2 linked regions of the Oryzias latipes genome follow. Each later gene encodes a partner of the first gene's protein in a complex. Links are inferred from orthologs where the notes say so. Each region holds a gene or a part of one and is shown on either strand. Other genes may lie near its edges.

Region 1 (15,487 bases):
TTTTCTTTAAATAGACAGTGAATCGCATTCCTTCCCAAGCATGATTGCCACATTGCAAAGTCAGAACTTGCAAGTCATGCATGTGAGAGCTCCCATTTAGTCACTTGTGTTTAAAAAACAAAAAAAAAAAACTCAGCTTGGTGTGATGGCGATACCAAGAACTGACATCCGCTGTCATCGTTTCATCATTAACACCTTGTCCTGCTCCCTCAGGTTATGACAAGCATCATTTGGATTTCAGCAAAGTGCAAAGAAAGGGGTTAACAACTAATGACAGGAAGGACGAAGACAGTCGCTGTGCCAAAGACAAATTGTTCTTCTGAAAGTTCACGTCCAGCCATCTCTGCCGAGGAGGAAAAAGGAAGCCAGAGAATCCAGGCGGCCCTGCAGCCAACAACATAGGTCCCCTAAGTGTAATCAAAGTGAAAAACCTTGACCCGTACCATACCAGACAAATATGGATTTGTTTCTTTTCTCTGCTCATGCATAACTTACATATGTGACAGATGTTTTTAGAGACTTCTAAGTCATTCAACACGGCAAATAAAGTCCAGATTTCAGCCACAAGAGAGAAAGCAAAACATGAAGACTATTAGTCAACACATTCCTTCTAAAGAGAAAGATAGTCAACCAATTTTAGAAACTCCAATTTATCTCCTAATTTGGAATAAAAATTTGGTTTCTTTTCACTAGTACTTGCATATATGTAGATTTAAAAAAAAAAAAAAAAAACCTCGACAGAATAAAAGCCACATGCTGTCTGCAAACTTTAGAAAATCAACAGGCTTCAATAAGTTGTATGAAGAAACGAACCCCCCCTGAGATTAAGACTGCAAAATCCTGCCGATGTGGTGCTGAAGCCAGGCCTTGTTGTGCAACCGTTTAGCAGAAAAACTGAAAAGTGTTGTCTTACAACACTTGGGACTTGCTGGCCGATGGCCAGTTCAACAATTGAGCTTCTGGACAAACAGCCCCTCCTTCTGCACCCCCCTTCCCAGTATGTATTCCTCTGGTTCACCACAAGATGGAGCCAGCTGTGGAGTTACACCCACTCACCATGTGATGATTTATTTCAGCTGAAAATGTCAGAATGACTACACAGAAGTGCAAATTGCTGTAGTAATAAGTTACATTTTGCATTAAGAAATTCCCTGTGATACAAAAAAATGCTTATATATTATTTAAAATTCCTCAGCATGGTAATGTGTGCAGAGTGAGCACAATAGATTTATTCCTTAAAAAGACAATAGATGAGCAAATTCCTTCATTCACAGTCCTCTAGTTCCCTTTCATTCCAGCTAAAGGTGCTGAACAGTAACAAAGAAAAGACTTATGCATGCTTCGTTTAGCATTTAGATGTTGCTTTCACTTTTCCTTTTTTTTCTGAGCTCCCCGTTTTTCGCCCCTTCACCGGCTCCTCCTCCTCCTCTCTTTGTCACTGGCTGAGGCTCCTCTCCCCTCCTCGTACTGCTGTCATTAAATGGCTCTTGTAGAGTTTACTGAGTCCTGTCATCCAGTACTTGAGCAGTCTGACGTTCTCCTCCTCGCCGGGCCCCGTGGCGCCGAGAACAGCCAGAACCCTCTGGGTGTCCTCCCTCCCTCGGCCGTCCACTTTGGAGAACTTGAACAGCACTTTGACCTTACTGAAAGAGAGAAAATTCACAATAGGGTTCACTAAAGAGCAGGGGGGAAAAAATCTGTCTTTAACTGACACCAAGTCTGCCTCAGTAGGACTCACTTCATCCACTCCTCCTTCAAACAAAGCAGGCAGTGAGACACGACGTCCACAGACAAGTTCTCGTTTGACAGGGCGGCCTCCAGCTTGTTTAATAAAGTTGGACCTGAGAGGAAAAAAGAAACACATTTCTGTTTACAGAACAGGTTTGGATTAAAGCTGGGACAGCGATGAAGCCAACCACCTAATAGGTAGTTTCTAACGGGAATTTAAACCTTGTTATTTTATTATGTAATTCGAAAAAGGTGTTTTGTTTTAATGAAATGCTGCGGTGAAGTCCCACTAAAAAATGAAAACATAAAACCAAAGACATACTGTATTTTTTTCTCTGCTGGGCACAACAGGCATTATAAGCTTCTCTTCAAGCTCATAATTTATAGCAGCGCTTCAGTGAAAAAGTATAGGATTACAAAACAAAACAAGCCCGGAAGCCTCAGCAGTCATCTGCATTTCCCATCTCTGCTGTTTTCAAGCTACACATATAACCCAATTAATATTTATTTATAAGAGTTTCTAAAAGAATAGAACATTTAGAATCTTTCAGAGCAGCTGGGACATGAATTCTTCCTCCCAAAACGCATCAGTGACCACATATGTGCAAGCATTATTGCCGGTGTGAGCACTCACCTCTGTCTGTTGGCTGTGTGCTGGCACTGCTGATGCTGAAGTGATTGAAAGCGGAGATGTCATCTTCGCCTGCAGCAGACGTGGCATGGCTCCTCTCTGAGGTCACGTCCACCAGCACAGAAAACTCTTAGGGAAGGTAAAAAAGTAAAAGAGTAAAACAAAAAGATCCCAGAAAATTCCTCCAAAGCAAAATCGAACAATATGTGGGTGTGGGGTTTCCCGGCGACACGAGGAGATGTGGTACCTGAGGAGCTGACGTGTGCTGGAATGGGAACATCGGGGCTGAGACCCAGGAAGTTGCATTTGTAGGCCTCCTCATACCGATCGCTGTACGCCACCGAGCGCACACAGCCGACTGGCAGCAACGTCTAGAAGAACCACAGACAGACATTAAAATCAGTTTGATGTCTTATGCCATTTTAAAAGCATTCCAAAATTCAAAAACTTGTTTCGTTTTCTAGGTCATAATTGCAGTAGTTCTGAGTTGTGGGATGTAGCAAGGTCACCCCACTTCCCGTCGCCCATCTGGTTACATGTTATCCTGCTAGCTTATGGCCCCTCACAACCCCAACCTAACGTTACCGATGCAACAAAAATGGGAAGCCATATTGCAGCTATCCAGTCATACAGTTTCGAGCCAAATAGTAGCTTGGATGAGGAAAATGAAGACACAAACGTGGATCTATCTGTCTGCAAGTGGATGCATCAGAATGGAGCTTGTGACCCGTCCAATGTAGCTTTTTTTAAATACAAGCTTTTTCAAGCGGCATTTAGTTCATCTGCTCCTGATTCACAACGATTTAAATAAAGAAATACTTAGAAATGCAATTTTAAGTTTATTTCTCCTTGTAGTTGTCCTCCAACATCAGACACATGCCAGAAAAACATGTTAAAAACACAAAAAACATGATTTTCATCAGAGTGAGTTTTTAAGCACTGCTGTTCATGTTGTACCCGAATGGAGGGTGTTTGGCTGTTCCATCCTCTCTACCACTAAAGAAAGAACAGCATCATAACACAGGCAGGACAAAAGGCTTGCTAATTCAACACTGAGCACAAATCCAACAGTATAGCAAAATGGAAATAAAGATCTTAAGAGGGGAATCAAACTGAGCAGATATGAGCCTGTCATCTTTTCTCTTAAGCTTTTTGTTAAGAAAAAACTACGAGATGCCAAACCTTCCGCTTCTATATTGGGATGGGGCAGTTAGACAGACGTGTTCCCTAAAGGAACTGAAGAGTTGCAATACTTAACTTACCATGTTAAGAGAATATGAGGCAGGAAAAAAAGTTCAGAGCTCTGGTGAAAAGGTCGAATGATGTTGATAAAAGGAATTATTTTAAAGTGCAGGAAAATACGAGTGATTTTCCATTTCCTCGTTTTCATAATTTGTTTCATTTTAAATAAATGTAGATTCAGTTTTTGTTTTTTATACTACTAGATACAATAAATAATAAAACATGACCATTTAATTACCATCAAACTGGAGGCTAATGTATCTTTTCATTTGTGTTGAACTTTGTTTTTAACAAAAACATTAGCTTAAAATTCATAAAAGTAAGTGGAAAAAACAGATTTTTTTTAAAAGATGTGACTATGACTCAACTGCATTATCACCTAGCTGAATGAATGAGGGACCTTGGTTTTAATCAGTTTTATTTGCATTAAAATATAAAATAATATTTCAGGGCAGAAAGGGGTTGGGCACCTTTAGGACAGTAAAGGCTGACTGGATGAGCACAGGGTCTGCTCCTCTCCAAATGACCTGATTTCCCATGAGCACATGCCACGCTAGCTGTCGAAAGTCAGCCGCCCCTAAAACCTGTAAAGAAAAAAAAGCACCAACTTATGGATACAATACGGAAGAACTCCATTTTTCTATACTTCCTTCTGTTTTATATGTGATGGCTGCAATATGTAGAGGACTTTACCTGTCTTAAATGCCTAAGTGACCTAAACTTTGGACCAGGTAGCTGCTCTAGCTTTGAATCGTCACACAGGAAGTCGAGGCCCAGCTGGCTTGCCGAGTGGTAAAGCTGCGACTCGGATCCACCTCCTTCTGCTCCCTCCCAGCAGCTCATTTCTTCTTGCTCTTTAAAGATGACATCAAGAGAGACGTTCCAAATATGTTTAAAGTTGAAGGAAACGGTTACTAAGGGATTTTTCACGTCACCTTTACACTTTTCATGTGATTTGCACAAGATTCAACTTGTTCTTCAACATGACATCATCTCATCTCTTGGGCATGACTAACTGCAACAGCTGACTTTGAGTAAAATACAGCTTTAAATCATTTAAGGCAAAAACATTTACTTAAATAAAAAATCCAACTGGTATCTCTACTACTATCTACTAAAGTACCTGTACATCCCAAAAACCACAGGATAAGAAAGAAGTCCTCCTGAGAAAAGTTATTTTTTTAGTCACAGTACTTCCTTCATATTTATCCCTAATCACCGGCACTGTTATTCCTTAAAAGACTTTACCCACCTCTGAAGAGTGCAATCTCCTCAAACCAACTATAGAAATGACTGTTTAGACATAAATATTAAAGTAGAAGGATAAAACAGATAAGGAAACAGATAAAAGACTATCTTAAAAGGAAGGTATTTTATTAACTCTTTGGAACGTAGGGCCTAAATCTCAGTTTTTGTCTACTTTCGAATTTGCCTTTGTATTTTCAATTTGAAAGACTATTTGATTGCTTGTCTAACCTCAGCTATGTGGCACTAACTTTATTTAGTCATTTTTCCATGTTTTAAGTCACACACTAGACAGGAAATCATACAAAAATGGAAAATTCCATCTGGAAAAAAGTGCTTACATTTGCTGTGGAAACCTCAAAAATGTTCAATGAAACTGTTTTTAGAAATTAAAATGAAACTTTGAAGTGTAATTTTAAAACAAATTACAACAAATGTTGTTAAAAATAAGAAAACAGCAGAGAAAATCAAAAGTTGTGCTGCATAAGAAGCTTATTTAAGCTGTCAAGTAAGATGAGTCACTAGTTCATCACAAGGTTTTGTCTTGGGTGGATTAATTCTGAACCTGACAGATGCATACCACTAGATTTGCTCTGTGTTTGATATTAGGTTGTGGAATTCAAATTCCTTGTTTCCTAAGGTCTGGGTCTAGACTCGGGTACTTTCCTGTAAATCCTTTAATCGCACTTTAACTCCTCACCATAAATATGCAAACCCTCTCTGGAAAGGAAGTGGATTCAAGTACAAAGGTGCAGTGTTTTTTTTTTGTTTTGTTTTTTTCTGGTCAAAGACTGTGACCCAGTGATTCTCAAAACGAATTTCCGACCAATGATACAAAACAGCTGCAAACTGCACAATCTTATAAATTCATCTAATGTCAAGAAACCTAATTTCTCCTGTGGACAAAAAAAATATTTATCCTTTTTTATTAGGTAGATTTGTTTTAATGCCTACCCAGCTCACAAATAACATTACACTGCAAAAACGCAAAATCTTACCAAGTATTACTGTCTAGTATTTATTTTGAAGATCTTATTACACTAGATCAGGGGTCATTAACATGAGCCAAATGTGGCTCTTTAATCCCTATTTTGTGGCTTTTTGGCTTTGAAGAAAAACGGTTACAATTTATATAAATAAAGAGTTTTAGTTCTTGTTGATTTGTTTTGGTTATTTTGGTCACTTAGGTTTAGATTTTTAATACATGTCCAGGTGCTGCTCAGAGACAATGTTCTTAAATTATATAAAGTCCAACTGCATTTACATATATAGATTTGTAAAAACAATTGGATTCTACGTCATTATCATGTATTGAATAGTGAAATGAAATAAACAGGATGAAGGTATACCACAGTCATAATAACAGAAAGCACCATGTTTGACTTGACTTTCTTGCATTTTAATTTAAGTAAATCTGCTGCAGCAGGGGGGGTTGTCATTTTATTTTGAAAGGACTTTTTAATGTGCAGCTGTCAAAAGTAAAGTGATGTAATTCTATTCTTGTACATAATTAAATCTAATTTCATAGATAAATGGCTTAATGGGCACAAAAAACATAAATAAAGTTTATTTTTGTAAAACAGTGGGACTTCTCGGTGGGTTTTGGTCAGTTTGAAGTTGGACCAAATGTCTCTTTAACCCTTAAAGGTTGCAGACCCCTGAACTAAATAAAAGACCCAATTTGTTTTAAGGCAATACATTTTGAATATCTTGTTGAGTAAGTTGATCTCGAAAACATCTCGTTTTTATATGAATATCATTAATAAAACACATTTTTTCCTCTTTATATAATATTTTTCAGTTGAAGTTTTATTTGTCTGGTGAGTGGTTTTGTTTCATATGTGTTTTTTAAATAATCCTTAATACAAATGGATCTTAAAATGTGTAATTCTAGTCTTATTTCAGGATGATTTGTTGGACTGTTGCTTGACATAAGACATATTTGGGGGGGAAGAAAAGTGTACAAATATACCTACTTTATAGGTATAAAACTTTTTTTTAAGAAAATCAGGCTTAGTTCAAGACCTAATATTTCCCATTTTAAGAGCAATAAACCTAAATATGAGTATTTATAGCTAAAGTCATCATTTAATTAGTCTTAAAAAGGGCGGGAGATCAAAACTTTTTTGAGAAATCTTACCAAGACAAATTCTACTAGTTCCATAGGCAGATTTTTTTCTTTTATAACAAGGGAAAGGCATCCTATATTTTATATATTTCTTATTTGTTTTAAGAAGGAAATCTTCTAGTGTGATCAGACACAAACAGTTTTGTAGCCCTGGACGTCATGCTTACCTGTTCGTCTTTCTATAAGCACCAGTGTGTCCTCTGTGGGGGCACCTTCAAGAAGCTTCTCCGTCAGTCGGCTCCCACAGGCTTTTAGCAACCTGCAGAAAGAAGGGTGTGAAGACCCAAATCATTATTGACAGCTGAGAAGCTACAAATCAGCCTAAAGGGGAGTAATGACAGAGTGACGCCGGGTCAACTGTCTCACCAGCTAAAAGAAGAGTGCAGGCTGGCCCAGAGATTGGGATGCTGTGTGAGAGAGGTCAGTGATCGGGCGGCGTTCCCACTTCTTTGGTGTGGAAAGACTGCGGGGGAAAATGCATTGTTGATCCGCATGGCTCGATGAGGGCAAACCCCCTGCTCACTGTCAAATACCTAATAAAAGAAAAATGTGTTCGGTCAATTAAGCTCAATACAGAATCAACAAAGGGGTTGTTTGTTTTTGTGGCCTACTTTTAGAGCTGTGCTCTGCAGGCTGTGTATGGTGAGCTTTAGGTGACGTAACAGGAAAGGCCAAGAATTGATGAGGTAGATCCTGTCCATGGCTACAATAACGATGCTGTACCAACGCTGGAATCCTCTGGCCAGGCTGTCTTTAATAAAAAAGGTGTGCGAAAACACAAACCCCTGTTGCTCGTCTCCAAAAAATATCGGTCCTTCACGTCCAGGACACACCTGAGGCAAAAACAGAGAAAACTGGGTCGGAAATTAGGGCCAAAAATGAGAGCAGACATCGTTTAAGCAAAGTTTACCTCACAGCTGAGGCTGCGTACACAGGCTTGGCGCACCATGCTAAAAAGCTGCGGCTGCCTGGGATGCTGATGGCTCAGAAATCGAATTCCTGTTTCATCATCGAAGCTCACAAAGCCAGGGTGAGATGCAGGCAGAGATCTGCATCCCTAAGAAGGTGTTAAAGAAAAAGAAAAAAACAGAAAATGACATGTGGGAAATGGATTACCAGCCGATAAGTTCTCTTTAGAGACCCACTCCAATGAAAATTATGTTTCTGTTGTTTTTAACGTGTGTTTGTGCCATTTTTCTGATGATAGAATGTATAAAGAAAATTAAGCTTCAAATTGCCTCTCTGCGTATTTCTGTATTCGTCTTCAGTCTTTGCTTTCCTCGTCCAAACTGTACGGCTGGTTAGCTCCAATATTGGTCGGCATTTTGTTGCACAGGGAATGTTAGAATGGGGGTCAATTACAGGGGCCGTAAACAAGTAAACAAACAGGCTTGCATGCAGGCTTACTACCAACCCCCCCCCCCCAACAGCACAATCATAATTAAAAGGCCACTGGGAACGTTTTGAAAATAGATGATCGGAGTGGGACTTTAAGGTCCAGGTGCCAAGAGCGTGATAAACTGACCTCACACATCTCTCCTCTAGGTGTAGTAGAGCTGTTGGCCCTCATGGTGAGACCTTCACCCTCACGGTCCCCATCTCTATCTCTGTCTCCTGGCACCGGGGTACCAGTCTGGGAGGACGGGTCTGGGGATGGGGGATGCAGGGCTTCTGTGCAGAAGAGGGTCCGGGGGCCATGGAGCTCACAGAAGTGACACAGAGCTACCAGCGCATTCATCTGAAATGGAGAACACACGAATCCATCAATAATTTAACATTCATTGCCGTTTTGACTACAAACAGATATTTACAGGTAGACTGTATGTCTCCTAACAGTTTGTGACGTTACAAGTCAATCATAGAGAGTTCTTCTTACCTTCAGCGGAGTCGAGCTAAATGCTGCTCAAAACGACTTTTATGGAACAGCCATGGCTTTTTAGTTTAAAAATACAAAAAACATGTTTCGGGTCGTTTTTTTAAACTAAAAAACTCACCAATAAGTCAACAAGTTACGCTTTTCGTTTGTCACCGGGAACTGCTAGCAAACAACAACAGAAGGGTCACATGACGCGGAGTCACGCGCTCGAGCAGAAATGATGCGTCTAAGCAAGTTTTATGTTCATTGGCACTCTTGGACCTCAAATTCTTGACGTTTGAAAATGTAAATAAATTCTCCAATTATTTTTCTTTAAAAATTTACGATTACATTCCTGAAATCAAGAATCATTTAGTCAAAAATAAGACTAGTCGATTGAACACTAACTACATTACCCATAGGTCCACTCGAGACTGAGGTCAAAGTACATTTGAGTTGGAAGTCTGCATTTTCTTACTAGTCTGCTTAAATGTCAAAATATGTGACCGTGGTTTTGATTTTTGAGTGCGTTTAAGTATATCTGCTTTTTGTAAAAACAATAATATTTCTAAAATTGTTTATTTTTAATCGCCAAAAACTAGACACTTCCGTGTGTTCCCACACACAGTAAAGAAAACCGGGTGTGTCCAGTTTATTTTTACTGACCAGTCAAAGGTAAAACTACCTCAACGAGGCAACAGGGCCCTTCATTTGTGACCATGGCGTCCCGTGGGACAGGGGCTCCCACGTTTTCACCTGAGGGCCAGGTAGATGGTGGCGGGACCCTCACAGAACCAACCAATAACCCAACTGTTGGAACAGCTGACACCCAGAAGCCCACTGATGTCGATGGTAACACCATATTTTTATGTGTTTTTAACATGTATGTACTTATTGCTGTTAATCTAATTGGTTAATCTAAATTGGTATGTTGTTCAAATCTAATTAGGATTTTAGGGGAATCAAACTCCATGCCAGATTATTATTAGTATTATTTTTTAGAAGCTATCAGCGTTCAAGTCATCAATAGCAGTGTTTCTGGGAAGGAATTTGTTCTGACAGCGTGTTTGTGTGAGCCTCTGGCCCTTTAAAAGGGAGCAGAATGCAGTGGACCCCCAGCCCCTCACTTCCTGCAGTGTTCATGTCCTGGAAACATGTCTGGGTTTTTAGCAAGTGAGTCAGGACTGAAGACTCCCACCTCCAGAGACTCCCACCTCCAGAGACGGAAAGGAATCGGTGTCTGCTCCCACTCCCACCCCTACTCCCCAACCTTAAGTCACAAGGAAATTTCCTCAGAACAGACAAACCTCCCTGCTGCTTTCAGTAAACTGTAATATCAGAAGGGAGTTTAATAACTTCAGCGTCGGGGAGAGTCAGCTTTCCCATTATTGTACGGGGGATTAGGTTATTACCACCTGTTGTTTACTCTCTGATTAGTGCACTGGAGATGAATTATGAGGTCCATGTCTATGGAAGGGTTAGAACAATCAAATATAATATCATTTATGTCAGGGCGAGGAATGCAGAGGAGCAGATTTAATCATTTGTGACGCACAGACTGATCTTTGTGTGGATGCCAAGAGCAACAATAATGACCATATGAGTTTTCAAATGAAAAATCTGATCAGTTCGTTTTTTAGTCTTGACTGCATATGTTTTCCTGTTATCTTTGCTGTGATTTGCAGACTTGGCAGAGCTGAAAAGCGATGGAGTCAAAGTGTGCCAGTTTTTCCAAAGTGGAAAATGTCGCTTTGGCCACAAATGTCGCTCCTTCCACAGGTCCGATAACCTTTATCTGTCTTTATAAAATACTATTTTTAAAGTACATATGTTTTATGTTCTGAATATCATGGTTATAAAAGCCATTTACAGATTTAAATACTACTGTTGAAATGTGTCTGCTCTATATCTTAATTTATGTGGTTCGACTCATCTGAAAGCAAGTTTTTCCCTTTTGAATTATTTCTTTTTAATGCCTTTGCCCTTATTTTTCAGTGAACCCCCACTCCACGTTTCAGCACCCATGTCCCCTGAAATCGATGACAAACAGAATGAACAAAAAACGGAAAAGCTCAAGAAGAAAAAAGGGGCAAAGCAGAAAAACAGTGAAGAAGTTGGTAGGGGCCTTCATTTTTTTATCCTAAATTTTTAGCATTCTCTCCTCTTTTTTTTTAATTTCTGAAAAACTACTCTTTTGCAGAGGTGACCAAAAAGCCACGTATGCGCACAGCAGATGACGTGATTTCTCGCATTTTGTGGGACTCGTCAGTGGATGCATCGGAGTTTGTTGTGGGGTATGTGGATCGCTTCCTTGGGGTCCTGGAGCGTCCTTTCTGTGACTTCAACTGGGACGCCAACCCCTGTGACTGCGATTACTCAGTTGAGCTGGCCTTGCCGAGACACAGGATCCAGTACTTCAGCTACAGAGGGAAACGCGTCTGGGACCGCCACAGCAGGACCGACAGGGTCTTTGGCTCCACAGGTCAATCTTTGGCTCCCCCCTTTGGAAAAGAAGAGGAAGTAAACGGTGAGTGAAGATCACAACTCTGTATGTACATCTGACAGAGATACGATGGTTGATTGGAGCCGTTTGCTTTAGCTGAAGAAAGCCCGGACCACCAAGAACAACCACAAGACAGTTGCGAAGCCGAACAGGAGCAGCCAACGACTGGCAGTGGACAGGACGAAAGAAAAACAGAAGACGGTGATCATATGAGGAGCACTGATGTGGAGGAGCTGAATGAGAGGATTTCCAGCCTCGTGTCCACACACTGTGAGGAAAACACTTCCCGAGGAGAGCAGGCGTGTCCTGGAACATGTGCTGTTGAGGATGCTCCAAACGGGTCAGTAGTTTGATCTTTTACTTGGAGAAGAGAAAACTTACTGTGCAACAATTTAATAAGATTTCCAGATTTACGGTTTCTATCCTCATCTCAATGTGTCTGAAACTGTAAATTAGAAGCATACATCAGTGGAGAACAGAGGGTCCTCCACTTTAAATCAGATCCTTCATATTGGACTGGATGAATATGCTGCTGTTTTAATATATATTTATGGGATGTCTGACCTGTAGCTGCAACCTCACTGGCTGGGAAAGAAAGTTTCAAATGCAACATGTACCTTTCTGCATTTGTCAGGAGCTCTTTGACCAGTTTGTCCCAAACACATGTAACTGGTATCTTATGTAAGAAGAGAACGGTTATTAACAACGTTCAAGTGGAATTCAAATAATTTAGATGTTATTTACATTTCTATTTGGAACACAGTTGTCTTCATTGATTCCATTTAACCAATTTAATTATAGAATCCAGGCTTTAAAAGAGCAGCAGCCGTCAAAAGGAGAAAAAGAAGAAGAAGAGGGTCAGGAGACCAATTTGGAAGAGTGGGCGGAAAGTTGGGAATGCAAAGAAGACGCTCAGGTGTGTACGGCAAAACAAACCCGATCAGAAATGCTTTCTGTTTGGATTAATCACGCTTTTCTTTGTTTTCATTCAAATAGAGTTATCCAAGAAATTTTTATATGAGCAAAGGCGCACCATCGCCTCTAGAGCAGAGGGTGGAGAAGGGTGGCGTGCGCCCACCTAAAAAACGACCCACCCACTTCATTTGCTTCCGAGCCAACACTCCCGCCGTCCTCTCCTGTTTCCAGCAGCTGCGGGAGGAGCTCGTTGCCCTTTTACCCTCCTCCGCCCCTCACTGGCAGGCCGCGTCCACGCTTCACGTTACCCTCTGCCTCCTCAACCTGCACAGCCCGGCTGAGGTGGAATCTGCCAAGGAGATTCTCCGCCACTTTTCCCGTCTGGATCGCAACCCGCCTGTTGCTGTGACCTTTCCAGTGAAGCTGAAGGATTTCAACGGGCGAGTGCTGTACCTGAGCCCCCAGCCCCAGCTGCACCTGCAGCAGCTGAACGGCGGTCTGCAGGAGGCGTACAGGCAGAAGGGCTGGCTCCACAGGGACTCCTACAACCCACGGTACCATCTCACTCTGGCCAAGTTTCACGACGTCAAGCGGGAGAGGATTTTTGACGGGGTGGGGGACCTGAAGGCAGGGAAGGGTTTGAACTTTGGCCGTCTGCCTGTGAACACCTTACACCTGTGTGCCATGAGCACCTCTGAAGCTGATGGTTTTTATGACACCCTGTGCACAGTGACCCTTCGATAATCACGCACAGATATTGCAAGTGACGCACATGCTGACACCGAATGCTGGTTTACAATCTAAGGTTTTACTAATGACCTTATTTATGGTTTTAATTGCCTTTACCTTAAAAGTTTATGTAGTTTCATAAAATCGCCCTGTAAGCAATCTAAAGTGGTATCTTGATTGGACTGGGCTTTTATTTAGATTTTAAAGGGTATAATCCTTTTATTGCTTTTTAAATGCATTTTAGACTTTTATTAAAACAAATTAAATTAAAAAGCTTTGTCCAACCTTAAAGGCCGACTCCAATCATCCTCTGATCTATTTTCAAGCATTCACAGTGTTCTCTTAATTACGATTGTCATTTTTAGCCTGTCATTTCTAGGACATAGTTTCTGCAGAGCGGCAGGAGTTTTTGTCTCTGTTGCCATGGAGCGATCCCACCCTCCTTCCCCTCCCTGCTCCGGAGGAGCTCTCTGTTTACTTGGTCTCCCGCTAGCTTACAGCCCAATGTAACATTATCAGAATCAGAATCAGAATCAGAATCAGAATCTTTTATTATCATTCTGCAGAGCACAATGAAATTTTTTCCAGCAACTCTCGATATAAAAAAGGTAGAATAAAATAAAATAAGAATAAGGAGCTATATAAGGCATAAATACTTAAATACTGTACAGTAGAGTGGGGTGAATATTGCACGAGTGGGTATTCCACATTAGAATGGATATTGCACATACAGCATGAATATTGCACACAGTTTAAAATAGAGTCAGAGCATTGTCAGCTGTGTGCTGACAGGGGTTAGTGGGTTATGTTAAGTCTGGGGGGAGGGGGCGGTTTCGTTGACCCAGTTGTGTGATGTGTGGGGGGGGTGGGGGGTGGATGGACCTCACTGCTCTTGGGAAGAAGCTGTTCCTCAGTCTGTTAGTGTGAGTTCTGATGCTCCTGTATCTCTTCCCAGAGGGAAGAGGTACAAACAGGTTATGTCCTGGGTGGGTGGGGTCTGCAACAATACGACCAGCCTTCCGTCGGACCCGGCTGTCATACACTGAGTCGAGTTGTGGGAGAGGTCCTCCCACAATCTCCTGTGCGGTTTTCACCACCCGGGCCAAGTCCTTCCTGTCCTGAGCGGTGCAGCTCCCGTACCACACCGTAGCACTCAGACAGAGGATGCTCTCTATGGTTGCCTTGTAGAAGTTCCCCAGAAGTTGTGATGAAAGTCCAGTCCTTTTAAGCTTCCTGAGAAAGAAGAGTCTCTGCTGAGCCTTCTTCACCAGGTGGGATGTGTGCAGCGACCAGGTGAGGTCAGATGTGATGTGGATTCCCAGGAACTTGATGTGGTCCACCTGCTCCACCTCCTCCCCGTTAATGAGGAGGGGGGTGTGTGCCACCTTTCTAGTCCTTCTAAAATCCACAATGATCTCTTTGGTCTTGGAGGTGTTCAGGATGAGGTTGTTGTCAGCACACCATCCTGTCAGGTGCTGAACTTCCTCTCTGTAGTGAGTCTCATCATTGTTGGATATGAGACCTACTACGGTGGTGTCGTCGGCGAACTTTAAAACCAGATTTGTGGAATGAATAGCGGAGCAGTCGTGGGTGAACAGAGTGAAGAGGGCGGGGCTGAGGACACACCCCTGTGGTGTTCCTGTGCTCAGGATCAGAGTGGATGATGTTGAGTCCCCGATTCTCACCACTTGGGGCCTGTTGGTGAGAAAGTCTTTGATCCAGAGGCACAGGGAGGCAGGCAGACCCAGGTTGTGGAGCTTCAGTGTCAGCTTGTCCGGGATCACTGTGTTGAAGGCTGAACTGAAGTCCACAAATAACATCCTGACATAGGTGTCAGGATGCTCCAGGTGGGACAGGGTAGCATGCAGGGCTAGTGATACTGCGTCCTCTGTCGATCGGTTCTCCCTGTAAGCGAACTGATGACTGTCCAGAGTAGCAGGGATGATGTCCTTGATGTGGTTCAGGATGATCCTCTCAAAGCACTTCATGATCACCGGTGTCAGAGCGACCGGCCGGTAATCATTGAGGCACGAGACGGATGATTTTTTTGGCACCGGCACGATGATGGAGGACTTGAGGCACACGGGAACATCGCTTATCGCTGTAACAAAAAGCGCGAGCAGTTATTGAGCCATCCAGTCTTACAGTTTTGAGCCAACTCAGAGGAGGAGGAAGACGAAGACTCACATTGATCTTCTTCTCTCGCCTGTTATTCCTGGTTGGGACATAGGCCGCAAACAAGAGCTCTCCAGGCAGACCGGTCTTGGGGGAGATCTTCCTGTCTGTCCCCACTTTTTCCCCATGCTATTGGCCCCTGCTTCCAGATCTCGGCGCCCCCTCCTTGTCTTTTTCCTTGGAGAATCCATGTCAGGGCCTGCCTTGAAGTGCTGGATGCAGGTTTTCTTTGGGTGTGGCCAATCCATCGCCATAGTCTTTTGAAGACGTCTTCCTCTACTGGTTGGTGCTCCGTCCTCTCCCATAACTCTTGGTTGCTGATGGTGTTGGGTCAGT
Region 2 (15,571 bases), about 9.2 Mb from region 1:
CCCATAGTCGCAGCCCCAGGGTTCCATGGTTGCTATGTAGATGCTGTAGAGAACGATGGCTGTGATGGACAAAGCAACTCCTGCTACGCTCACGATGACGTTAAGGACCACCTGTGAACCCAAAACGGGTTTACACAGTTGAACATGAAACACGGTACTGCTTTAGTGAAGACATGCAGAGCTTTTTTTGCTCCCAATTTGAAAAGAATAAATAACTAAGAAAGTAGAAAACTGCTCACCAAACACCGACTTGGAAACCTCTCCGATAAAATGCACATGAAGCCAAATGCAATGAACTAGAAAAAAAAGGAAAGGTTCATCATGTCCTGTGGTGTTTAAAATGAATATGCTAGCATATTTTCTAATTCTGAATTTATACAAATTTTAAATTATTGTTTTATTTTTTATTTCACCTTCATCACTTCACGGTATCTTTTGGCTTTCATGCATATTTCATTTTTATATGTATCCATTATAATGCATAACTGTTTATAACCATAACTTATTTAGAATTTGAATCAAAATAAAGGATCTGCTTCAAATAAATATTAGCACTTAGCATTGTCATCAATGATCAGTATAATACATAACATACAAGTTATGCATATAACCCTGAGCCCTAGCCATTTTCTGTCATTCTTCATCCTAATTTATAGTCCTTTCAGAAGTCCTGCATCATACGTTTGAGATCAACTGGCTTTAAAAGTGCTATTTAAAATATTCTTCTTGTAAATTTAACAATCTTAGCTTTTTTTTTTGTTTTATTGTTTATAACTCCATTATCAATTAACAAATAATACAGCATTTTATTTTTTATCCTGTACCTCCTTCTTGGCAGTAAAATCAGACTTTTTTAGGTTCTTGTACTTCCTACCTTCTTTAATAGCTAAACTAAAGATTTATTTTATCATAATTTGACCTTTTGAACTTTTTTGTGTCATTAGAGCTGGTTTACAATTTATTCTGGTCATTTATTGATTGATTTAGGATTTGCAGTAATGTTGAGTTTCTTCTCAAATATCTACATGTCTTGTTTTTTTCTTTTGTCTGTCATATTTCATTATCAAATCCATTATTCATCTAATTTTGTCTTTAACTTGCACAATGTTCAGCATCAATTGTTTACAGCGTTGTCACCATAGCAACCACGCATTCTCACGTCAACTCCTTCAGATGAGGAATTAAGTTCTGGGATTTTGCTTTCAGCATTCTTCAGTTCATGAATGAAATCCAGTTGTTATGCAGGTATCTTACCAAAGCTCCCAACCAAATAGGAAACTCTGTCATATTTAGATACCACGCAGTGAGCTGACTCGTGCGGAGGATTAATCCAGGGCCGATGTTAAGGAGCCCAATCATAATCTGCATAGCCTGTAAGAGAGACACAGGAACTCAGTGTTCTGCAAAAACCTCATCGTGTTGTTTGCAGTTTTCTGTCATGGATTTCAAACATCACAAACAAAACATCTAAAATAATAGAAAATATCCAGATTAAGATAAGGTCTTCCTGAAGAATGTGTTATTACTCCAAATTATGAAGGCACAAATATGACTGAAAACTTCACAGTTTTTGTAGGTTTAGCTTCATTAACCAGAACTTTAAATGTCAAATAGGACTCTAGAACAGTTTGTGACAAACTGCAAAACATTCTCCTAAAGTTCAGCCCACTGTTGTTTTTCCACATCCATAGAATCCAAAAGGAACATTGTTAGAACGTTCTAGCACACTGTATGGTCACATGACTTTGCTAAATTCAGTGTTTCCACACATTGGACTGGAATGATGGACTGATCAGTTTCTGCTGACATCACGTGTGTGTTTGTCACAAGAACAGGCAGACAGCTGGATCCAAATGCAGCAGGTTTATTAGCTCAGCTAAAAGTCCACGAAGCTAAATCATGGTCAGGCAGATATGAGATAATCCGAGGAGAGACAGGGTAGTCAGGATCCAGGCGAGAGTCGGGGCAGGCGGCAGGCAAACAGAGTCAGAAACCGGGTCAGGAGACAGAGGATCCGGTCCAACTACAACGCTCGGTAAGGAAGGCAGAGCAGCACAAACGATACTTCTCACTGAGTGAGGCTCAGGGCAGAGCTTAACTATGCTGTGGTTGATGAGTGAATGAGAGTCGGGTGTGTGGCATCCAGGAAGTGTGGTTAGAACTCTGGAGATGGTTCCCACTGGTGACCAGAGAGGGAGACAGAGCTCTGACTTCTGACAGTGTTGTTGGCTGTGATGTCACTTTGTCGTTTTTACATTAGAGTAAAACAAACCAGGACTCACCCCAAGGATGGACAGAGACGCTTTCTTCTTCAGCGGCTGAGACACAGAGCACAACGCCGGGCTGTAGCAAAGACCTTTGAGGATCTGGCAGATGGGGGGGCAGGAACTGCTGGGGTCGGAGTTCAGGGTGATCACTGTGACCCCTTCACCTTTGGTCATCATCACAGACATCCTGTCTGCGGATGTAGGAAAAATATCAATTATGTGAAAAATTGCGATATTTTATTGGTCAGTAACAATGTTTAAAAAACAAATTTTAAGCAAACATTTAGCTCAGCGTCTTACTTTTGTGTTCCACTTTAACCCATTGATTGTATGTGAGAACTGGAATGAGTGAGCGTGACGTCACTCATAGAAAATAGTTCACTTCCTGGCCTGTGCTATCCATGTTGGAGCCAGATGTTGTGAGTTGAGCTGTGATTTGTTCAAATTGAGCGGAGTCAACGTTTCTATGGCAACCACTCTCTGAAATCAGGACTTAGTAATGTTGGGAGGTCACACCTCTACCATTTTAAAGTGGACTACACAAAACATGTCAATCAAACGTTTTAAACGTTCGACATGGGTGCCAGCAGGCTCCCCTTACTTTGCTTGAGGCATCTATAATTTGAATACCTTTAACAATAGAAAATGTATCAAGACAAAAATAGGATTATCAAAGTTTATCAGAAGTCCTTCTGACCAATAGATTGACTGAGAAGTCTAAAGAAGTTTATGGGATTTAGGTTCCAAACACTTCCTGTTTGGAACAACAGGGAGAGGGGTCACTCAATCCAGTTCTCATATACAGTTAACCACTAGTTGGCAGTGCACCACAAAACGCCTCATTTAGCAGCTCTCTAATAAGATCTAATGAGAACCGTCTCATAGTAGATGTTTACTCTTCAGTGAGGCGGCAGATGTTGTTCCACAGCTCAATGATGCTCAGTTTAACCTGAAATAGGCAAATTTGTTTCTTTGATCTTTTAATCTATCATCATCATCATATAGTTCAATAAAGCAGTTTTGGAAATGTGTAGCACTTTATTTTCTTAATCATGCTTACTGGTTAAGGCACCTTTCAGCTTTGTTTTTTTTTTTAATAAAAAATATCCTGTTAACAAACCAAACAATACTGTGTTGAAAAAATATTCCATAATTTATCTAAAGAAAAGCACCATGAATTTGCTTTGGTAAAGCAACTTGTTCGCAGTCTGTGTCACACAGCCACTACGTACATTTTGTGCACAGGTGAAAATTGTTCATATGTGAATATACGTCTTTACATGAAATTTTCACAGATGTACAAATGAACCACAGATGTACAATGGAAGATGTAAGAATAAACCACGCAAAGAACACGTAAATCTACATAGAACATGAATTTACGTAATTTGAACATGATATGTGCGCCGTATACGCAAAGTTAAAGGTTTACATCAACAGTATATGCATGAAACGTCTGTTACACATACGTGGAACGGTCATGGAAAGTCAAAAATGTGTATGCGACTCGCATAAATCTCACACAATTGCTTAAGATTTACTTAATAATTGTGTGTAAAGGCCCGTACACACCGGGACGAATATTCGCCAGGCGTTATTCGCCAGCGTTTTTCGCCATGTTTTTTGTGTTCACACCCAGGCGATTTTCGCTGACAATGAGCCGAGCCAACATGCAATTTCATTCCCTGACGTTAGATGGCGCTTAATGTAAACAGAAATACTCCTGTACACAAGGTGGCGCTGCGCAACTTTATGCTTCTTAAAGTCGCTTTTCACTCAGAAGAAGAGAGCAAGTATTTACGCGATTGTCAGAATCAAACAAAGAAAACATGAATATTTCAAGCACCAGTAGCTCCAACTGGTGCTTGGTTCGGGGATATTTTAGAATGTCCGTCATTATTTCTTCGTGGCAGTGTAGACGCTATTTGGCGTCTATCTTCTTCGCTGGTATGTGTGCTCAGCAAGGCAGTTTTGTGTTTGAGCGCCCCCAAGTTGTGTTTTACTGTCACTTCAGAAGCTCCAGACACGTGTGCAAAAGCGCCATTCTCATTGGTCCAGTAGATTTCGACGCGACGCGTCGAAAAAAAAAAACGAACCCGAGGCGCTTTTTTTTTTTACGCTTTGACGCGTGGCGTTTTTTCGCGTCGGTGTGCACACTCTCATTGGTGCCCTTTGTTTAGTCACGAGGCGTTAAATTCGCCGACGAAATTTGTCCCGGTGTGAACAGGCCTTAAGCTATGTAAACTACGCATAAACTGCAAAATTTCAAAACCGCTCAAAACCAGACTCACGCAAAGAGTCGTTGGCCGAAATCCTCTACAGATCTGTGCCCATTGACAAATGAATGAATTACGTTTATCACATATGTTTCACAAAAGACAGAACTTAAGCAAAATGTGTGACATGGCCTTAACCCTTGTGTTATCTTAGATGACCCCACCCTTACATTGACGTGTTCTCCCTGCCATGACAAAGGTGGATAAAGGTGGAAAGATTTCATGTAATCCATGGACACCAGTGAAGATCACAAATCATTGAAGAAAAAAGGTTCAGAGCACTTCTAGTGGGTCTACATGACCTAACTCTCTGTGTTAAAGTGCCTATGATAGCACAAGGGTTAATGTTCTGATAATGAAATAAAATGTATTTTCTGCCATTTTATAAAGGTGTATTAGTATTCACTCAAAGTTTTGCAAATTCATACTCTTTTTAAAATTGGTGATATTTAGCCTTTCTTGCAGCCACACTGTACATACTGATTAGATTTTTTTTGTAATTTCTTTTCTCCAAAAGACACTTTTATTCGTCATCATCATTTGTCCTTTCAGTTGCAGAGACTAGAATAGAAAAAACTGATTTTTTGACCTTTCATCTAAACTTCAGAGGTGTCAGAATGACCTCAAAGAGTTTTACTATAAATTTAAAGAGTTAACTTTTTTGTCACATATCTAGAAGGAAATGTGTTTATTTCCTTCTGCCAAAATGAGACTACATCCTCTCTGATTTTACACCACGTCTGTAGCTTTCAATGGTTGACGGTATAAACAAAACTGTAAACGGATGCACTTGTGTGACTATAATTTTACCAAAACACATATCAGAGAATACATATTAACCATGCACTCATGTACCATAGCAGTTACAGCATGGAATCAAATCAACTTTTGTTTATACAAATGATTGGTTTGTGTCTTTTTTATAAGTGTGTCCACTCAAACACAACAGATTTACCTCTTAGAACAAAATCCTCTTCTTACAGACAAAAAAAAAACAATAATATCCTCGGCCCGATCACTTTTTCTGATGTCCAAAGGGCAGGAGGGAAACGATTCTGCCAAACACTTTGCGCAAACATGTCCTCCCACCAGGAAGCCAGCAGACAATAAAAACCTCAAAGCAGACTAACCTTTACTGTAAGGAGGAGTGTCAAAAGATTTAAATAACACTTCTTTGGTTGAAGTAGAATAAAAAGTACACTTCTTTGAAGCATAAAATCTTTGAGATAAAAACTCTAAATATGACAAAGGAGATGAATCAAGGAGGTGAAGTTTTCGTCGTTCACTGAAGCAAACTATATTTCCCATGATACATTTCCAAAGAACTGGTCATATTCTAGCAGCTCTAATAGGTGTGAGTGTGAATGGGAGTGTGATTGTGGCCCTGCGACAGACTGGCAATCTGTCCAGGGTGTCCCCTGCCTTCACCCACAAGTGGCCGGGATAGGCTCCAGCAGCCCCGTGACCCAGAAATGGACAAAACGGAGGAAGATGAATGAATGGCCATATTCCAGTTCTCAAAAATGTTTACAGACTACATGGGAAAGTAATTTAAAACAAAAAGATTTGTGAAAAAATCAGGAATAATTAAAAATTTAAAAATAAAGTTTAAAGAAAAACATAATAAATATAAATAGGAAACATGTATTTGGATATAACTGCAATTCCCATGATGCATCTCTAAATGTACCGGAAAAGGAAACAGAAGAAGAATCGAGTCAGCTGACTTTGCTCTGTTATTGAGCAGTTCTCTCTTCTTTTTTAAGCCCCGTGTTTATTCAGTCAGATCATTTTTCTGGGTTTTTTCTCCTGAGAGAGGTCGGCCATGTTGCGACCCAAAGCGCTGACGCAAGTTCTCAGCCAGGCGAACACGAACGGCGTCCAGAGCACCCTGTGAGTACCGCGAGCTAGCAGGCTAACATCCAGCTAGCTAGCAGCGGTTTGTTTGCGTCTAGCTCCTTAGAACTCTTAAAGCTCCCCTGAAACGACACGTTTATATAATTATTACTTCACCAACTTAATACTACTTTTACATTTTCATTATTTATTGCAATAAATACAAATATATTTTTTCAAGATTTGTTTTCCGCTGTTAAATCAAATACAGTTTTACACGAATTTCAAGCAGTTGAATTTTGATTTCAAAATAAGAGTCTTTTTAAAATATATTTGGTTCGTTTTTATTTTTGCTTAGAAAGTCTGTTCAGGGTACAAAATATCATTATCAGGTAGAAAAAAAGCAAAAAAAATCGATTTACATTTAAAAAGTGGTGTGGGAAAATAAGTAATCTGTAATGTTTGATGTAGATCTGTTTGATATAGATCTGTTCATCGTTTTAGCCATTTTGCATCAATCGATCAATTTCTGTCCTGGAGACCTCCTGACAAAATTACTTGGTTTTCATGGTTTGAAAACGGAATGGCGTTTGTCTTAAAACTTTGTCACTGTAACTTTTCATCATTGTGTTGTTTTTGTGTGTAATGAACAACCGTCTCTCTGTGCGAGCAGCCTACTGAACAACGAAGGCTCCCTCCTGGCGTACTCCGGTTACGGCGACACAGACGCTCGAGTGACCGCTGCCATCGCCAGCAACATCTGGGCCGCCTACGACAAGAACGGCCACCAGGCCTTCAACGAGGACAAACTCAAGTTCATCCTCATGGACTGCATGGTGGGAACTTTCTCCTTGTTTTCCTTCAGCCCTTTTGTTGAAGTTAGATTCTATGAATGCCCCAACATCTCTGAAGGGGTCTGCAATTTGAGGCATCACAGCTGTTTTTTTTCCCCCTCCATTGTGACTTTAAAGAAAAAATGTGTATTATTTAAATAAAATAATGTGTTTGTAGTTTTGCTTTAGCATGCATACATGGTGGCACCTGTTCAGTCTGGTCTGTTTCAAACGGGACCAAATGGCTCTTTTAATGTTGTACAAAATATGAATAATGGGACTTGAGCAAACCTTCAGATATGGAAGGAGCTGGCTCTTGATACCAATAGCACCACAGGAAGACACCAAACACACACTCCTTGTACTCCTTGCCCATTTTTTTTTGCCCCGCTCTACAGTTTTGTAAACATTGCTCAAGTCAAACGTGTCAACGTCCTGCATCATTTTTCTCATGATACATAAATAATCTTCGCTCATGCAAACAACCAGATGATTTTCTTATTTCTAACTTCCAGCTCTGAGGCAAAATGTTTAACTTAATTCCCGAAAATCAGCGAATCCACACAGTAAAACCCCCACTCTGCCTTAGGAGGAGGGGCTTTGTGGAGAGTCTTGCTCTGTAGATGGAGGGGAAACCTGCTGCATTTGGTCGCATAAAAAAAGCTGAGATCCATTCTTTCAAACCTGTGATTCAGTTCGATTTGCGCCTCATCGCCCCTTATTCAGTAATAATTCATGTCTGCACATTAGCTGAGAGCTGCTGAACTGAGTGAAGGTCAGGCTTACATAAATACTGTCGTAAATCTGAGCATCGCAAACTAACAGCAAAGCAGTGTTCTGTGAGAAATCCATCTGACTTAGTGGATTTATGATTGGAAGTTACAACCTGTAAAGAAAAGTGACTTTTAGTCTTTGGACTCGACCAATAAAAAGGCTTTTTTTTTTTTTCTCAGGAAGGGAGAGTGGCCATAACGCATGTGGCTAACCTGCTGCTTTGCATGTACGCCAAAGAGACGGTGGGCTTCGGGATGCTGAAAGCAAAGGTGAGGGCGCTGCTTCCTCACATGGGTCTTCATCAGCTGTGGTTCCTCAACGAGTCCCGATTCCTGACCCCACAAGTTCAGTTCAACCAAGGACATTTATTCACTCGTTTATTCATTCACTCTCCTCTATGTAGTTTAGTGGAAGTGAAGCATATTTCAGATCAAATTCCGATTCCAAGTTATTGGATTTGGAGTTGCTGCCGATACCGAGTTCCGATCTGTTACTGTCGTAGCACATCCAAAAAAAAATGACAAACTTAATAAACAGATCAACATTTTCCAAATTTTTAAAATTTTATTAAGCTTCTTTTAGCATTTTACACGTAAACAGAGCACTTCTGGGAAGTATCTTCAACAATCAAGGAAAAGTAATGCAATTATCAAATAGAAAAAATAGTTAACTATAAACTAGTACAAACTTGTTAATAGTTAACTAGTCAAAATAGGTTAATTAGCCCTATGAGAAAGTTTGGTGACTGTAGCCTTAACATCTTCAGAACTGTTGAACATTTTTGATCAGATGTGATTCATTTCCCTGTTATAATATCAAATAATCAATTTCCAAATTCATCGTTGTAGCATAATTATGATGAGTATTTGTGACTTTCAACAGAACCATTGACTAATCGTTAGTATTTTTATTATTATTATTATTATTATTATTATTATTATGTATTTATTTATCTTGGTCTATTTTTCCCAGAACTTGCACTTTGTAGGCGGTCCCTTATCAGCCCACCATCAGTTTCATTCTCTTGAAAAGAATGAAAAAAAGAGCAATTTTTATTTATTTACTATTTACAGTCTTTGTAAGTCGTTGGTAAGTTAAGATGAGCCAATATAGACACTTGCTGTCAGTATAAAATGTTTGATATACCGTACTTATTGTGTCAGGAAGTCTGAATCTGTGAACAACTGGTTAACTTTCCCGAACTGTGTTTGTGCGCCTCCTGGTGGCGTATTCCTGCTCCGCTTTACGACAATAAAACGTCCTGATCCATTCAGGAAGTGCCGACTTCTAGTAGAGTATTTATCTGTAATGTTAAAAATATATATATAACGGTAATTTCATTTTGATTTGACTTATTGGTTTATTTCAAGCCTTAATTGAATTAATAATAATAATAGATTGGATTTATCTGTGCTTTTCCAGACACTCAAAGCGCTTCAAATGTGTCCATTATTCATTCACTCTTCATTCATAGTTGGTTCGCGCCTACGGTCCCTCGGACCATCACTGGGATCATTCATGCACATTCATGCTGGTAGCGTTAAGGGTCTTACCCAAGGGCCCTCACTCACTGGTGTTTACTGCTCACCAATTCAATTGCTTGCTTGTTAATTCCCAGCTCTGTGAAGCGAACCCTGGTTTCCTGCATGTCAGTCCTAAAATATCTCTGATTTATCAAGGTCATCACAGAAAGAATGAAATGCATTGATTAAACAAAGACGCATTTAGGTCACGTTTGATTGATTACATATAGTGATAATTAACTACAGTCAAGTAGAACTTGATTTATTCTTTAAAGGGGCAGGAAGGAGCAGATTTATATAAACCCACCCTTACTGAGTTTTTTTTTTATATTTTTCATAATCCAGTTTATCCTAATAATGATAATAGAAACATTACAATCCCTGATTGACATCACTTTTTCAAACACCTGCAGAAGAACAATCAGAGAAGAGGAAAAGAGCAATGAAAAAATGACAGATTGAGGGAAAAGCTTTCTTTTTAAAAGCTTTTAAACTTTATCTTTAGTCTTTGAAGAGGCCATATTCCCCAGATTAACCTTGGCTCTCATGCACAATGATCTGTGCAGCTCTCAAAGTCGGGTTGGAAATACGAACACCCGCCGGGATGAGCTTCTGGTTCCCCACCTGAACCCGCCTTCTGTGACCGTGTGTGTGCTTGCAGGCGGAGGCGCTGGTGCAATACCTGGAGGAGCCGCTGACTCAGGTGGCGGCATCGTAGTGAAGAGTGCTTGATCTGAGGCCTTTGCGGACTTCTGTAACTTTCTGCTTTTCATCTGTGTGGGTGTGAGTCTCTCCAAAATGTCCTCCATTCTGCCCCCTGCTGCTCAGAAACGGATCATTTTGGATTCTGGCAGAACTTTGGAAAATCGTGCTTTTCTGCATTTACAATTATCATGCTTTTATTTTGAAGGTTAATAAAAATGTTGGTTTAAAAGTTGGACGTGTTTCCTGTTATCTTTAAACCAGATTTTAAAAAGCTAAAAGTCAAGAAATACTTTTTAAAAACATCTCTTTGCTCTTTGAAGGAAGAATTGATGGATTTTTATTTTCCAGATGAGAAACAATAAACATGTTTGTTTCATTTCATGATTCAGTCTTTTCACTTGAATCATGGAAAATCCAGCTGCAGCTTTAGAGGACAGGTGTAACAAAACAGGTGAGCATGAAAAAGAAGAAATAAAACAAAGGGAGCCTTTTAAAACTTCAGACTTATTTTCACTTTGTTTATAACCTCAGCGGTTGGTTCTGAGCTGCAGTCATCCTCTCCATTCACTTCACTCTCACTCCTTCACCCTCCCAGTAACTCAGGTTAGTGACATGAACCTGCTGCTGTGGGGTTGCTGGTTCAAGTCCACGGCCAGCAGGAGGAGTCGTTCCTCTACTGTTGAGCAAAACAGAAAAATCCAAAGCAACCTTTGGTTTTTTATCCGGCAGTGTCTCTGTATAAATATTGATGACAGAATCATTTATTAGTGAAAACTTTTTATTTGATCAAAACGGCAGAATTTGATCAGAAAGTAGCTCAGTTTTCAATTCTGATTACATTCTTTTAAATTCAGAGTAACAATTCTCATTTGTAATTTTTCTCGGTGTTTAATGTATATATTTTTTTTATTATTCAAACTTCTGTTTTTAAGACAGTTTTTGTGTTCTGTGTTTTTTCTTACATAAATAAAGTTGTTTGGGTTGGAATCCTTCCGTGTGCCATTTCAGAAAAGTGATCACTTCAGCAGAAAGGAAAGAAGCATCTGGAATGTGAGATAATTTGATCATGAAAGACAGAACTTCCTGTGATTACAGCAGAAAATTACTGACAACCACCGTGTGACGTATAGATAATTCACTCATGGTGTAACTAGAGAGACCTAAATAAAAGTGCGAGGCTGGAACAGTCACCCTGAGGAAGAGCGGTTCGGAGCAGAAGGGTTGTCTGTTTCCAGCTCTCCTCGTGGAATTCCTACCTGACTCTTGGCGTCTGTTTCCTTTGTTAATACTGTAGCGTCCCACTGACGCAATAATGAAGCGGAGGCGACCGTTTCTAACCGTGAGGCTTTTTAATGACTTAGGAACAGTTACTGTCGGCCGTAACCACGCCAAATACAGCACAACGATAATCAGAACTTTCCATCAAAGCATCCATCCTCCCCCAACCCCCTCGTGCACCCACGACCCCTCCTTTATTGTCTGCTCCTCCGCCCATTCTCCCGCTCATCCAATCACACTGGAGCAACGATGTAACCCAGAACACATTAACAGAGTCCCAAAAACGTTAGTCGCTACACTGCCTCCCCCCTACAAAGTCCCACGTCCCGTGGGGTCACACACAAAGTCACGGAGGTGGGGGGGAGGCTGTCTCAATCTCCTGGGCCTCCGTGGAGCCGGCACGGATGGCGCCATGTGATGTCCCGAGACCACCTGCTGCTGTGGGGGTGCATGTGGGGAATTGGCGGGGGGGCCAGCCCTAGCATGGGTGGGGGTAGCTGAGGGGGGCAACGACCTCCCAAAGTACTGCTGTGGCCGTGCATCACCCCTATACGGAGCCAGTCTGTCCCTGTGGAGGGTCACACGCCTTCCTCCAGGTGGGAGCTCAACCCTATAAACCACTTCTCCCAGCTTTTCCAGCACCTCACAGGGCCCCACCCACTGACAGTCCAACTTAGGGCATCTACCCTTTTTCCTTTTCGGGTTGTACACCCACACCAGGTCTCCTGCCTTGAAGTCTTTGCCTTTGGCCCTCAGGTCGTAGTTCCTCTTCTGCCTTATGCCGGCTTTCTCTAGTTGATTGCGGGCAAAGGCATGAGCCGTGTCCATTCTGTCCTGCAGCTTCCTGGCATATTCAGGTCCAGGCGGAGCTCCCAGGGCATCAGGGGGTTTCCCAAAAGACATTTCTGCTGGCGTGCGTAGCTCTCGTCCCAACATGAGCAAAGCAGGTGTGCATAAGGTGGAGTCCTGCACTGCAGACCTGTATGCCATCAAAACGAGTGGAAGATGCTCGTCCCAGTCGCTCTGGTGTGCTGAGGTGAGGATGGCTAGTTGCTTCACCAGGGTCCTGTTAAAACGTTCAACCAAGCCATCACTTTGGGGGTGTAAGGGGGTGGTCCGTGTCTTCCGCATGCCCAAACGCTCACACATGGCGGAAAACACAGCAGACTCAAAGTTCCTCCCTTGGTCACTGTGAATGACCTCAGCAGCGCCAAACCTAGAAAACATGCCCTCCACCAGGGCATCTGCAACAGTCACTGCTTCCTGGTCTGGGATGGCATATGCTTCCGGCCATTTTGTAAAGTAGTCCATGGCAACCAGAACAAATCGGTTACCTCTGTTTGTGCGTGGAAACGGGCCCATGATGTCCACTGCTACTCTCTCCATTGGTGCCCCTGCTGCCAGCTGCTGGAGCTCAGCGCGGGACCGATCAGGGGGGCCTTTATGCGCTGTACAGATGTCACAGCGGCGGCAAAAGTCTTCCACATCCCTCCTAAGCTGGCCCCAGTAGAACCCCTGGCGGATGCGACGGAGGGTCTTTGACACGCCAAAGTGTCCAGACCCTGCAGCTCCATGGCAACCTTGGAGGACTGAGTTTCTCAGCGTACGAGGGACCACCACCTGCCACCGTTCTTCTCCGGTAGCCGGCTCTTTCCAGGCCCTCTGAAGTACTCCATCCTTCAGTCTCAAAGCATCAAACTTTTCGAAGAGTCCTTTGGAGCCGGGGGAGCACCCTGCCACCTCCCCCCACTCAGGTTTGCGGCCGGCCTCCACCCACTGCAGCACTGGTTGCAGGTCAACATCCTGCTCCTGATGCGCTCTCCATTCAGTGGAGTCCACACCCTGCACCAGTCTGCAAACTGGCCAGCTGCTTTCACCGGTGTGGCTCTGCTCCTCTCTGCTGATTACTGCTTCCCGAGCCTCCCTTTTCTCACAGTACTGGCAGCCTGCCAGGGCACAGGGGCGTCGAGACATGGCGTCAGCATTAGCATGGCGGGAGCCCGGTCTATGCTCCACTGTGAAGGAGAATGAAGCCAGCTCCTCCAGCCAGCGAGCGATTTGACCTTCTGGCTCCTTGAAGGTCATCAGCCACTGCAGAGCAGAGTGGTCTGTCCGGACTGTGAAGGGGAGGCCGCACAGATAGTATCTGAAATGGCCTATGGCTTTGACAACAGCCAGGAGCTCCCTGCGAGTCACACAGTAGCGCCGCTCCGCTTTACTGAGGGTCTTGCTGAAGTAAGCCACCACCCTCTCTCCTGCTGACCCCATCTGGCTCAGCACGGCCCCCATTCCCACATCACTGGCGTCCGTATCCAGAATGAAGGGTAATTTGGGATCTGGGGGGGTCAGGATAGGAGAGTTTGTCAGAGCCTTCTTCAAAGAGCTGAAAGCCTGCTCACACTCCTGCGTCCAAACAAAGTCACAGTCCTTCCTCTGCAGGTGAAACAGAGGGGCAGCAATGCAGGAAAACCCGCGAACAAACCGCCTATAATAGGAGGCTAACCCCAGGAAGCTCTTCAAGTCTCTTAGAGTGGTGGGCGTTGGCCAGTCTCTCACAGCTTGCACTTTCTCCTCCAAAGTGCTGATGCCCTCGCCCCCAATCTTGTGACCCAAAAACTCCAGTTCTCTTCTCATGAAGCAGCACTTGTCAGGGTGCAGCTTCAGACCTGCTGCAGCAATCCTCTGCAGGACTTTCCTCAGCGATTCCAGCGCAGCCTTGAAAGACCCCCCGTGTACCAGAATGTCATCCAAGTAGACCAAACATTCCTGACGGGGGATGGAGGCCAGCACCTTCTCCATCAGGCGCTCGAACGTGGCAGGAGCGTTGCACAGGCCAAAACTGAGCACGCGGAACTGCCACAACCCTCTCCCGGTGCAGAAAGCAGTCTTTGGTCTGGCTGCGGGGCTGAGTGGCACCTGCCAATATCCACTGCGCAGGTCCAATGAGGAGAACCAAGATGAGCCAGACACCAAGTCCAGAGACTCATCTATGCGGGGCAGCGGGTACGAGTCCTTCTTGGTCACCCCATTCAGCGGCCTGTAGTCCACGCAGAACCGCATTTTCGGACCCTTCTTTTTCTTGACCATTACAACCCCTGAAGCCCAGGGGCTGTCTGACGGCTCGATGATGCCGCCACGCAGCATTTCCTCAATCGCACTGTCAGCAGCCACTTGGTGGGCAAGGGGGAGGCGGCGGGGGCGTGTTTTAATCGGGCGGGCATCTCCAGTATCGATCTCATGATGAACTAGGTGTGTCAGCCCCACCTCATCCTCAGAAAGTGCAAAAATGTCTCTATACTCCAACAGCACCTTCCACAGTTCATCCTTCTGTCCCGGCTGCAACCCATCACAGCTGCGCCTCCAGATCTCCTTCACAGCTGTCACTCTGTCAGCCTCAACCACTGCGTTCCGCTGATCTGAGGGCAGTGGCTGCGTCTCGATCTTAGGTTGAGGAGTGGTGGGCAGCGGAATAGAGTAGGGCGGGGACAGGTCCTGTTGCATCTCTACCGCCCTTGATGTCTCTCGGGGTAAGCACTGGGCCCGAATGGGTCGGACCATGGGCACCTTAGGCCCCCCAGGGAACTCCAGGGTATTACCCCCTAGGTCCAACACACATCGGGCTGCTCTCAAAAAGTCCAAGCCCAATATGCACTGATCCTGCACAGCTGCAACCCACACCTTACAATCCACCGTCATGCCACCCACTCGAATGTTCGCTGTCCCCCGGCCAAGCATGGGAGTCAAGTCCCCGGTCACAGTTCGTAGCTTGACAGCTGTGGGTTCCAGTAGCATCTCAGCTGGGACCATGTCAGGCCTGAGCAGGGTGGCAGTGGACCCTGTGTCCACAAGTGCTACACAGGACACCCCCTTTATGGTTATGGGAACGTGGCAAAAGTCCCCAACATGGGTCCAGCCCACAACTCTGGTCCACTCCGCACTGTCGTCTGCTTCTGGGGGGAGTTGAGCCTCCCTCCCCCGGCTGTCAAGGTGGGCTCCATCTGCTAGCAGATCATCAGGGTGGGACATGCGAAAACGGGTCTGTGACGTCCCTCCTACACAGACCCCGGGCCGTTTCCCTG

Evidence for each region.
Region 2: flcn (region 1) and lamtor2 share a complex: the UniProt entries of both Homo sapiens proteins name them as parts of the lysosomal folliculin complex. The link is inferred for Oryzias latipes from reciprocal best matches to the Homo sapiens genes FLCN and LAMTOR2.

The regions. Positions count from the first base shown.
Region 1 is NC_019874.2:19,455,906-19,471,392, forward strand, and holds flcn (folliculin), read right to left. Parts: upstream 9,039-15,487; 5' UTR 8,969-9,038; exon of another isoform or gene 8,851-8,968; intron 8,713-8,850; coding exon 8,500-8,712; intron 8,032-8,499; coding exon 7,885-8,031; intron 7,808-7,884; coding exon 7,586-7,807; intron 7,508-7,585; coding exon 7,341-7,507; intron 7,234-7,340; coding exon 7,142-7,233; intron 4,456-7,141; coding exon 4,295-4,455; intron 4,186-4,294; coding exon 4,072-4,185; intron 2,731-4,071; coding exon 2,607-2,730; intron 2,489-2,606; coding exon 2,363-2,488; intron 1,842-2,362; coding exon 1,739-1,841; intron 1,644-1,738; coding exon 1,436-1,643; 3' UTR 1,038-1,435; downstream 1-1,037. Other genes in the region: leng9 (leukocyte receptor cluster member 9), read left to right, coding at 9,549-9,681, 10,515-10,608, 10,825-10,946, 11,030-11,356, 11,429-11,672, 12,134-12,248, 12,329-12,991. UniProt on the Homo sapiens protein: Multi-functional protein, involved in both the cellular response to amino acid availability and in the regulation of glycolysis.
Region 2 is NC_019874.2:28,613,770-28,629,340, reverse strand, and holds lamtor2 (ragulator complex protein LAMTOR2), read left to right. Parts: upstream 1-6,222; 5' UTR 6,223-6,368; coding exon 6,369-6,436; intron 6,437-7,052; coding exon 7,053-7,215; intron 7,216-8,165; coding exon 8,166-8,255; intron 8,256-10,170; coding exon 10,171-10,227; 3' UTR 10,228-10,447; downstream 10,448-15,571. Other genes in the region: uncharacterized protein LOC101171775, read right to left, coding at 1-111, 240-296, 1,255-1,371, 2,283-2,453. UniProt on the Homo sapiens protein: As part of the Ragulator complex it is involved in amino acid sensing and activation of mTORC1, a signaling complex promoting cell growth in response to growth factors, energy levels, and amino acids.